Chlamydomonas reinhardtii: one gene and its partner. Each later gene encodes a partner of the first gene's protein in a complex. Links are inferred from orthologs where the notes say so. Each region holds a gene or a part of one and is shown in the gene's direction. Other genes may lie near its edges.

Region 1 (4,341 bases):
GCCGTGGCTCTTGCACGTGGGACAACCGCCTGGGAGCGTCACGCAGCGCAAACTTACCGCCAATGGGCATGCGTCAGGCATGTCCACGGCCCCGCCATCGTTTAATGAAGACTTGAGGGGGAACCTGCCACGCAGCCACGCCTTCCATTTAGTCAGTTATCAACGGAGCGCTTGTCTCTGGGATCTGCGGTGGCCCATGCTCACTCACTTCTCCTTACAGCGGGAGCACTCAAAGAACTGTATGCTTTCCCAAACTCGGACGGGGCCGCCTCGCACAACTGTGCCGTTCACATACAGCAGCTGGTGCAGCTGCGAGCAGCCCAGGCGAGCTAAGGGCGGTCGCATGGGACTCGGGTGTGGGTCCAGCGAGGTGGGCAGCGACACCAGCCGCACGTGCACGTTGTCGCACACGTTCAGAGCGCACTGCACCGGAAGCAGCTGCCCTGCTCCGCCGCCCACAGCTGCCGCTGCTTGCTGCCCCTCCATTCCCTGCTCAATGGCTGACTTCATCTCCTGCAGAGTTAACAACAAGAGATCTGAAGGTAAGCGCGCGCACTGCGACTCAGGAGGAGGGCACACCCACAGCCTCACACCCCCAAGCTTCTCATACCCCGTGCTCTCCGGGCCGAACGCTGCGTTCATGTTGTCAGCCATACCAACCAGCTGGGCAGGGATTGTCGCCTCATCGAGCAGTGTTAAGACCTCCAAAGGACGAGCGTACAGACCCGCTGCAAGCTGCAAGCGGCAGCGATTGCAGTTAAAGGTACACCATGCCATATCAGGCACCCTTGCTCAGCCGTCGCACGCTTGCCAACGCACCTCTGGCTCATGGTTGGCAAGCGCGATAGCAGACAGTGGCAACGCCAAATGCTCCTCTCCAGGTGCATTGCATCGTAGGATGCGCTCAAGGTCCTGCGAATGGGACGGCCGGCTCCATTAAACGCGCGCGCACATGCGCAAGCCGCGCGCGCACATGCGGACATGCCACTCGATCAAGGGCAAGACGATGGTGCGTCTAGTGCTGCTCTTAGCGCACAGTACAGATCCACGGAGGGAGTTCCATTGGCGTCCGCATACCTGCGCGCAGCAGTGGAGCAGAACGCGGACAGCGGCTGCCCGCATCGACTCCATGCTGGGCTGGCACACTACCCAACAGCCCTAGGGCCCTGCAGCTACCATGGGAATTAAGTATTGGTCTGATCACTCAACGAGATTTAGGAAGACAGAGCGAGAGGCCTCGCAGGCTCAGAGTCAGAGCCTGTTCTCAGCTGTCGGCGAGGGTATTAATACAGCAAGCTGGTACTTTATGTATGCGATTTACATAAAATGGCTTTGTGTGGTGTGCGCGCTGTTCCCTAACTTTCGGTCGGGCGCCATGCGGAGCAGTTCCGCTGTGGAACTGCATGCTCCAACTCGCAGGACTGCCAGGCCCCAGTCTAAACGCGACCGTATACTGACTTTTGGGTTAGGCTCTCATTGCCTTATCCTATAGCAGGACTCGTTCGCGCGCTCTTCAGGGGCCGCTCTTCGCGGCCACGATGGCCGACGTAGCGATTGACGTTGGCAACTGCTGCAAGAGGCTTAAAAAGCTGTATGAGAACTGGACGGTGAGGAGGAGCTATCAGCATTTTAAAATTGCTCGGAGATCCCTTTGCACTCGTCATTGAAGGGATGCTTCATTAGCATGCGAAATATTGTACAAGCAGATATAGATCTATGGAGCAATGTTGGCATGCCCGCGCAGACTCAGCAAGATGGCGTCTGGGCTGGCGCGAACGTACTCGCGGTGGCCGTGGGCGCGCCATCAGAGGACCTGCGGTACCTCAAGTCAAACTCATTGCATATGTGGCTGTTTGGCTATGAGCTGCCAGGTGGGGCGGCAGTGTCCAGTGTCGGGGGCGGGGTGAGGGGTTTTGCGGGTTGCCCCTTGTGCGCCTGCCTGTCGGCCCCGCCCGTTACCATCTTGGCGCTTGCCGAGACGCCACTAACCGGATTATTCCGTACCTATGCAGAGACGGTCATGCTGTTTACGAATAACCGCGTGCACGTTCTGACCAGCCAAAAGAAGGGTAAGGAACACGGACACCGCTGGTCGGGTCCCGAAGGATGCAGCTTGCATGAGCGTGCAGGGGATGAAGCTTGGTGTTGCATGTAATGGATGGTCTGTAAATGTGTGCTGGGCTATGGGCGATAGCCTCACGGTGCTCATGTGCTGTTCCCGGTGTCCGTATAGCCTCTCTGCTGCAACCGGTGGTGGAGGCTTGCGAGAAGGGCGAGGCTGGGGACGTTCGCGTGGAGGTGCTCGTCAAGCCAAAGGCGGAGGATGGAGCAGGCCAGGTGTGTACTTGATAGCCGGGCGCTGGCGACTTCGTGGCTTTCAAGAGCCGGACATCACAACTTCGTTGCGTGGAATAGTTGGCTCGGCACTTTGGAGTGCAGCAGTATACTAACCTTCGACATGAGTGTGTGACTTTGGAGTGCACATAAGATGCTTGCTTGGCAAATTGAGCGCGTTCTGCCGCACGACAACACAGCATCAATGGGTAGGTCTGTGTGTCATGGGTGCAGTGCACCCAACTGCTGGACGCGGCCCGCACCGCTAGCGGCAGCCCCGTGGTGGGCCACCTGCCCAAGGACAAGCACACGGGCAAGTTGATTGACGTGTGGACCAGCGCGATGACGGAAAGCGGCCTGACGCAAGTGGACATCAACAATGGTGTGGCGGACCTGCTGGCGTGCAAGGATGCCAACGAGGTGGGGTTGTTAACGTGGCCACGGGTATCATGTGTCGGGAACACGATGCTTGCACAACGGGGTTTGGGGAAGCTGTTTGCAGCTAGCACCGCGCGTTGCGCCCACTGCTAACGGTGGTTGACCTGTCCGCAGATTCTGAATGTGAAGAAGGCGGCGCTGCTGGCAGCAAAGGCGGTGCAGAACTGGGTGGTGCCCAAGGTGGAGGATGTGGTGGACTCCGGTGAGTGGGGAGCTGGGGACACTGCCATGCGTTGGAGACAGTGTTGTGCAATGCTGGAGGCACGCAAGCTGTCTCTCGAGAGGATTCGATTAAGTGCATTACTCGCCTGACTGCAGGCAAGAAGATGAAGCACAGCAAGCTCAGCGAGATGTGCGAGGAGGTCATCACGGACCCAACCAAGGTGTGAGGGGGCAACATGACTGAGTGCTTATGTTGCCGCGCTTTCCTGCTCCATATGTATCACCCTGCTGTGCCTGCATACCCATGCGCAGGTGCAAGTGAAACTGAAGGCCGAGAACTGCGACATTGCCTACCCGCCCAGTTTCCAGGTGCGTGTGACAAGTGCGGCATGTTTTGCGGTCAGCGGTGCATGCCCCCTGGTTTGCGGCCGCAAACCCGCCTTTGCCGTTTCTTGCAGTCGGGCGGCGTATACGACCTGCGTGTGAGCGCGCCCTCCAACGACAGCCCATTGCACGATGACGGCGTCATTGTGGTGTCACTTGGTAAGGACGGCAGGCATGTGCGGATGCATTCGGGAAGTTTGGGATGCATTAATGGACAAAGAAACGAATGACACTTACCTGCATAAATAGCGCTCAACTCCTTGCACTGCGCACGCAGGCACCCGCTACGCCTCCTACTGCGCCAACATTAGCCGCTCCTACATCATCAACCCCTCCAAGGACCAGACAGCGCAGTACAACGCCCTGCTGGCGGCGCAGGAGGCAGCCATCACCGCGCTGAAGCCTGGGGCTCCACTGACGGCCGCCGGCGAGGCGGTGGTTAACTCGCTCAAGGCTGGCGGCCAGGTAGGCGGCTTACGCGTAGCCCTGCTCTGAGCGCCGTCTAGGGCTGAACTTGCAGCGGCGTAGCTCAGGACTTGAGCGACATGACAACCTGACCGCATGCAATGCCACATGGCTCACTGCTTCTGCAGGAGGCGTTGATTCCGCTGCTATCCCGCAACGTGGGCTTCGGCATGGGCCTGGAGTTCCGGGAGGGCACCCACGTGCTGCCACTCCCGGGCTCAGGCAAGGCCGCCGCGGCGGGAGAGGACGGCGCGCCACGTGTGCGCGCTGGCATGGTGTTTAACGTGTGCCTGGGTGTGGCGGGGCTGACCAATGCGGACGCCAGCGACCCGAAGGCCAAGAACTATGCCCTGCAGGTGATGGTTGGGGCTTCAATGACGCCTTGGCCAGCAATCTGGCCGACCGTACTTGCGCATGAACTTCGGTGGATGTGCACGTCATTGTGCATGCGCCCGTCGGTCATGCAGGTCGCCGACACGATTGTGGTGGTGGATGGCGATCGCCCAAACGAGGTTGCCACTCAGTCCGCCCCCAAGAACTTCGATAAGGTCACCTACA
Region 2 (4,550 bases), on another chromosome or scaffold:
AGGGGCTGCTGGAGGACGCGGTGCAGCTGGAGAAGCGGCTGCTGGAGCGCATGGGCGCCATGGAGGAGGCGCAGCGCCGGGCGGCGGCGGGGCTGGAGGACCGGCTGGCGGCGGCGCTGAGGCAGCAGCTGGCGGAGGTCAGCGCCGCCGCGGCGCGGGAGGCGGCGCGGGATGCGGTTGCGGCGGCGATGGGTGACGGTCACGGCCCTGGTAGCAGAGGGAGTGGCGCCGGGAGCGGGAGCGGCAGCGGGAGGCAGGCGCCATCTCGGGGCTCGTCTAGCGGCGCTGCTCCTGGGATGGGAGTTGGGACGTCGCTCAGGCCGCCGCTGTCCGGCGCCGCCTCCGGCAGTCTGGGTGCAGGAGGGGGCGGCGGCGGACAGGCCTCGCCGCAGCTGGCGCAGGCGTCATTGCCGCCGGGCCTAGTGGTGGTGGAGCGCTCGGCGCTGGAGGAGGTAGCTCGAGCGGCGGCGGAGCAGGCGGCGCAGATAGCGGTGCAGCGGGTGCTGGCAGCGATGCAGCAGCCGCAGCAGGCACTGCCGCAGTAGTCCTGGACATGTCCATAATTGTGTGAGCCATTGTACTGGAGTTTAGGGAGTGGAAGGTTTGCCGTTTTGGCGTGATTCCAGGAGTTCTTGCGAGGATGCATGCGTGGTCCGGGTGAGCTTGGTGGCATTGGTGTGCGGTCGCGTGCGGACTGCATTGAGTGAGTGTACGTATGGCCGAGCGAGCGAGCATATGAAGAGACAGCCCAGAATGTAGACGCAGCTACGGGTTGACCGCGTTGCTGTTTGTGCGCGCATCGAGAAGGCTTGCAACGCGACACATGGCCGGGTGCAGGTAGCTGCGAGGCTGGGCCCCCATTCATAGATGCTGACAGACTTAAACCTTTTTGAAAGATTGAAAGAGCGTGCGTGTTTGTGGGTGAGGGTGAAGCATTTATGGCATGGGCGAGATGTGGGTCGTGATGGGGCGCAGCAATGCGTCGGGTCAGAGAGGAACACAGGACTGGGTGGACTTGCGAGCCCGCTGGAAGCGCGGACTAGCGCGGGGTTTCCGTTGGACTGAACCAGCTGCACGTCATGGCGGGCACTGAGTGGGCGTTTCCTTGCATTGCATTTCGATTCGGCAGCTGGGCAGGGAGCCTACTAGAGCTAGAGAAGGCCGACGGCGTCGCAGGCGGCACGCCCCTGGGGTCCAGAGCAGGGTGTTCGTTCTCCACGCCACTGGCTCGTGAAGTGCGTCAGCAGGTCCCTCTTGTAACCAATGCAATCTGGGCAGCGGGGGCGCCGGAGTCCTGCACTCCTGCACATGGCTGAATGGAGAGGTTGCACTTGACACGACAGCATTGCGTAGGACTTGTCCGTACTTTGCATGTGACAAGGCCCAGGTTGGACGGTATCATCCGCAAGCGCACGTGGCGCAGGCTGCGTGGCGGCCGTGATGGGTGAACCGCTTCGTGCAGCCCTGGCGCTGGCGGGACCTTGGCAGCAGCGCCACAGCACTGGCCTAGTTGTCTTGGCCTGCACGGCCCAGGTGTAGGAGCAGATTGCGTGTGCGCATGAATTACCCGAGCTAGCACACGCCAGCAACATGTGCAAGAGATGGCATGTTTGCGGGGGCCCTTTGGACGTGTGCCGTGCGTGGTGCGTGGGCGTGCCGATGGGCATCGCCGATGCACAGGACCGCCCGCCGACAAGCAAATTGCAATATACAAATTAGCAACTTGTTGTAGATTGGCACGCGTTAGGCTAGTTCTGCTAAAGCTAGGCTTGAGTTGGCACTTGGCGCGCCAAACAAGGGCGAACTCTGGTCTCCCGCTGCTTGCCATTCTATATTACGAAGATATACGTAATCCTATCAACCAACCTTTCCAGGAACAACGCTAGACCGACGTAGCTCGATCTTTGGCATTTGAGTTTGCGGCCCTCGCGCCTCCTCGGCAGCCATGGCCGAAGGCGTGCAGGCGTTCGGAGAGATCTGGCTTGGTGGCCGCGGTGGAGTGGTGAGCAGCGCTCAGACTGGCGCGCTGTCGTCGGCGCACTTGAGCGAGCACTGGCGCGCCAACGCGAAATCCCAATCCGGTTTGCTACTCGCAGGCTTCGGGAGTCCTGAAGCTTGCTCCTACCGGGCTGACATGGCGTCGGAAGCAGGGCAGCAAGCTGGTTGAGGTGAAGAAGGACGAAATTGAAGCCTTGTCCTGGACTAAAGTCCCGCGGGGCTGCCAGCTGAGCGTTCGGCGAAAGGGCGGCCCCACCGTGAACTTCCTGGGGTTCAGGGACAAGGTGCGCTGCGTTAACGGCGCTGCCGGGGGGCCGAGCGGGTGCAGGGGGCTTGGCCGGGTCCGGCACGCGGGGCCTGCAATGCCGGCCGGCCGGGGCCTGGACCGACGCGGGGCGGCAACCCAACAGCTGGTAGCTGCATGAGCTGTGCGGTGGTGCACCAATTGGCTCAGTCGCCATGGGGAGTAGTCGGCAGCCCGGCAGCTTCAGAGACGCTTGGCACCACGCCGCTTGGACTTGGCAGCCTGCTGCACCCCTTCTTCCCTGTCTCCCGCCGCTCCTTTAGTAGCCGTATTCCCTTGTCCGTTGTTGCCCTGTATCAACTGCACAACCGCCTCTGCACCTCCCTGCGCCGCTTGGTTCATCTACCCTACTTGGTGCTCCCCTTCCTTGACAATACGCAACCACTCCCGCGACCTGTGGGCTGGGTCCCGGGCCTTGGGCTAGTTGGCATCTGCATAAGCTACCCCCCTGCGCCCCCCCCCCCACCACACAAACACACTCTTCAGGATCTGGACACGCTGCAGCAGTACTCCCGAACCACGCTGGCGCTGCCTGAGGGCGTGAGCGAGGGCGCGCTGTCCACCAGCGGCCACAACTGGGGCGGCGTGCAGCTGCGCGGCGCCAGCCTGGCCTTCCTGGTGGGCGGCAAGGTGGCGTTCGAGCTGCCGCTACCGGACGTGTGCACGGCGCAGCAGACCAAGGTGGGCGGGCGGCGTGTGGGGTGGGGTGGATGGAGGGGAGGGAGGGAGAAGAGGGGGGGAGGAGTGGGGCGTTGGAACTGAGGAGAGGAAGATGGGAAAGGAGAATGCCAAGACCGTGTATGGCCGTATGGGCCGTGGTGTGGGTTTGCGGAACGTTGTAGTGTAAAGCACAGGGACGGGAAAGAGCGGGCTGCGTTGTGGGTGGGCGTGTATGTGCGTGCGTGGGAGTGAGCGCGCGCGTGCGTGTGTTGCAAAGCGTAGGGGTCGGTGGGCAGCGAACTGCGGCGTTCACGCGTCTGAGCCTGCGCCCTGCGCCCCGCCCCGCTCCGCCCCTCACCTGCAGGACGACGTGATGCTTGAGCTGCACGTGGACGACACGGGCGGCGAGGTGGCGGAGGACATGCTCACGGAGCTGGCCTTCTACGTGCCGCCCGGCAATGAGGACTTCCCGGCGCAGGGCGAGGAGGTGCCCCCGGCCAAGGTGGGGCCGGGCCGTGTGGGGTGGGGGTGGGGGGCGAGGGGTGGCGTGTGTGTGAGTGTGTGGTGGGGTGGATGGCACGGGGTGATGGTGGTTAGGTTATTCCAATCCCAATGTAAACCATTGCCAATGCCGGGGGTGAGAGCGACTTGAGGGGTGTATGTGTGGGGGTGTGGGGGCATGATTGGCAGCTGGGCGGGCGGCCAGCAGTCGGGGGAAATGCTTACACCTGTCGGGGCGCGATGCCCTATGGATTTGTCAACACGCCATGGAGGCATGTCGAGCGGCATTGCCCCGCCTCCCTCCCTCCCTCCTCTCCCCAGGTCATGCTGGACGCGCTGCTGCCGCACGCGGACACGGAGGCCGCGGCGGCGGACGAGCCGGTGTGTGTGTTCAGCGAGGTGGGCATTGTGGCGCCCCGCGGCCGCTTCGAAGTGGAGATGCACCTGGGCTACCTGCAGCTGGGAGGACAGGTGAGGGGGAGGAGGGAGGAGGGAGGGCAGGGTAGGGAGGAGGGAGGGAGGATGGGAGGAAGAGGGAGGAGGGGGGAGGAAGGAGGAGGGAGGAGGGAGGGAGGAAAGCGGAGGGGGGGAGGAGGGGAGGGAGGAGGGAGGAGGGGAGAGGGGAAGATGAGTGCCGGGCTGGGGTCGGAGATCGGGGTTGCGTGTGTAGGCCGTGCATGGGAATGTTGGGAAGATGGCGGGGGGGTTTGCAAGGTTGGGACTGAAGCAGTAGAGCGGTGGCGGGGGTGCGGGCAAAAGGGAAGCAGCAATGGCGGAGGAGTAGGTGGCGACATGCGGAGGGGGCAGGAAGTCTCGGGGGCGCTAGGATGCGAGGTGTTTTGCGCGGCAAAGCGTGAGCAGGGGTCAACGTCATTTGTTGCGGGAGAAGCGGCACGGGCATTTTCAACGTTCAAGCAGGGCGTGCAGGCGGGATGCCGGGGGCCGCGGGAAGGCATTGTTGCGCATACCGCACCACAAATGCGCCCCCGCTATCCCATCACGATTCCGATCCCGCCACCCCTCACAACCCTGCAGTCCCAAGACTTCAAGGTGCGCTACGCCTCCATCCAGCGCATCTTCATCCTGC

Evidence for each region.
Region 2: CHLRE_12g540076v5 (region 1) and CHLRE_01g029450v5 share a complex: the UniProt entries of both Arabidopsis thaliana proteins name them as parts of the FACT complex. The link is inferred for Chlamydomonas reinhardtii from reciprocal best matches to the Arabidopsis thaliana genes SPT16 and HMG.

The regions. Positions count from the first base shown.
Region 1 is NC_057015.1:9,488,439-9,492,779, reverse strand, and holds the start of CHLRE_12g540076v5 (uncharacterized protein), read left to right. Parts: upstream 1-1,439; 5' UTR 1,440-1,538; coding exon 1,539-1,607; intron 1,608-1,744; coding exon 1,745-1,871; intron 1,872-2,012; coding exon 2,013-2,069; intron 2,070-2,233; coding exon 2,234-2,337; intron 2,338-2,568; coding exon 2,569-2,754; intron 2,755-2,886; coding exon 2,887-2,974; intron 2,975-3,090; coding exon 3,091-3,155; intron 3,156-3,246; coding exon 3,247-3,303; intron 3,304-3,392; coding exon 3,393-3,477; intron 3,478-3,595; coding exon 3,596-3,783; intron 3,784-3,911; coding exon 3,912-4,139; intron 4,140-4,250; coding exon 4,251-4,341. Other genes in the region: CHLRE_12g540502v5 (uncharacterized protein), read right to left, coding at 205-513, 661-735, 820-912, 1,078-1,131. UniProt on the Arabidopsis thaliana protein: Component of the FACT complex, a general chromatin factor that acts to reorganize nucleosomes. The FACT complex is involved in multiple processes that require DNA as a template such as mRNA elongation, DNA replication and DNA repair.
Region 2 is NC_057004.1:4,349,210-4,353,759, forward strand, and holds the start of CHLRE_01g029450v5 (uncharacterized protein), read left to right. Parts: upstream 1-1,733; 5' UTR 1,734-1,945; coding exon 1,946-2,002; intron 2,003-2,096; coding exon 2,097-2,282; intron 2,283-2,788; coding exon 2,789-2,983; intron 2,984-3,326; coding exon 3,327-3,464; intron 3,465-3,784; coding exon 3,785-3,934; intron 3,935-4,498; coding exon 4,499-4,550. Other genes in the region: CHLRE_01g029400v5 (uncharacterized protein), read left to right, coding at 1-545. UniProt on the Arabidopsis thaliana protein: Component of the FACT complex, a general chromatin factor that acts to reorganize nucleosomes. The FACT complex is involved in multiple processes that require DNA as a template such as mRNA elongation, DNA replication and DNA repair.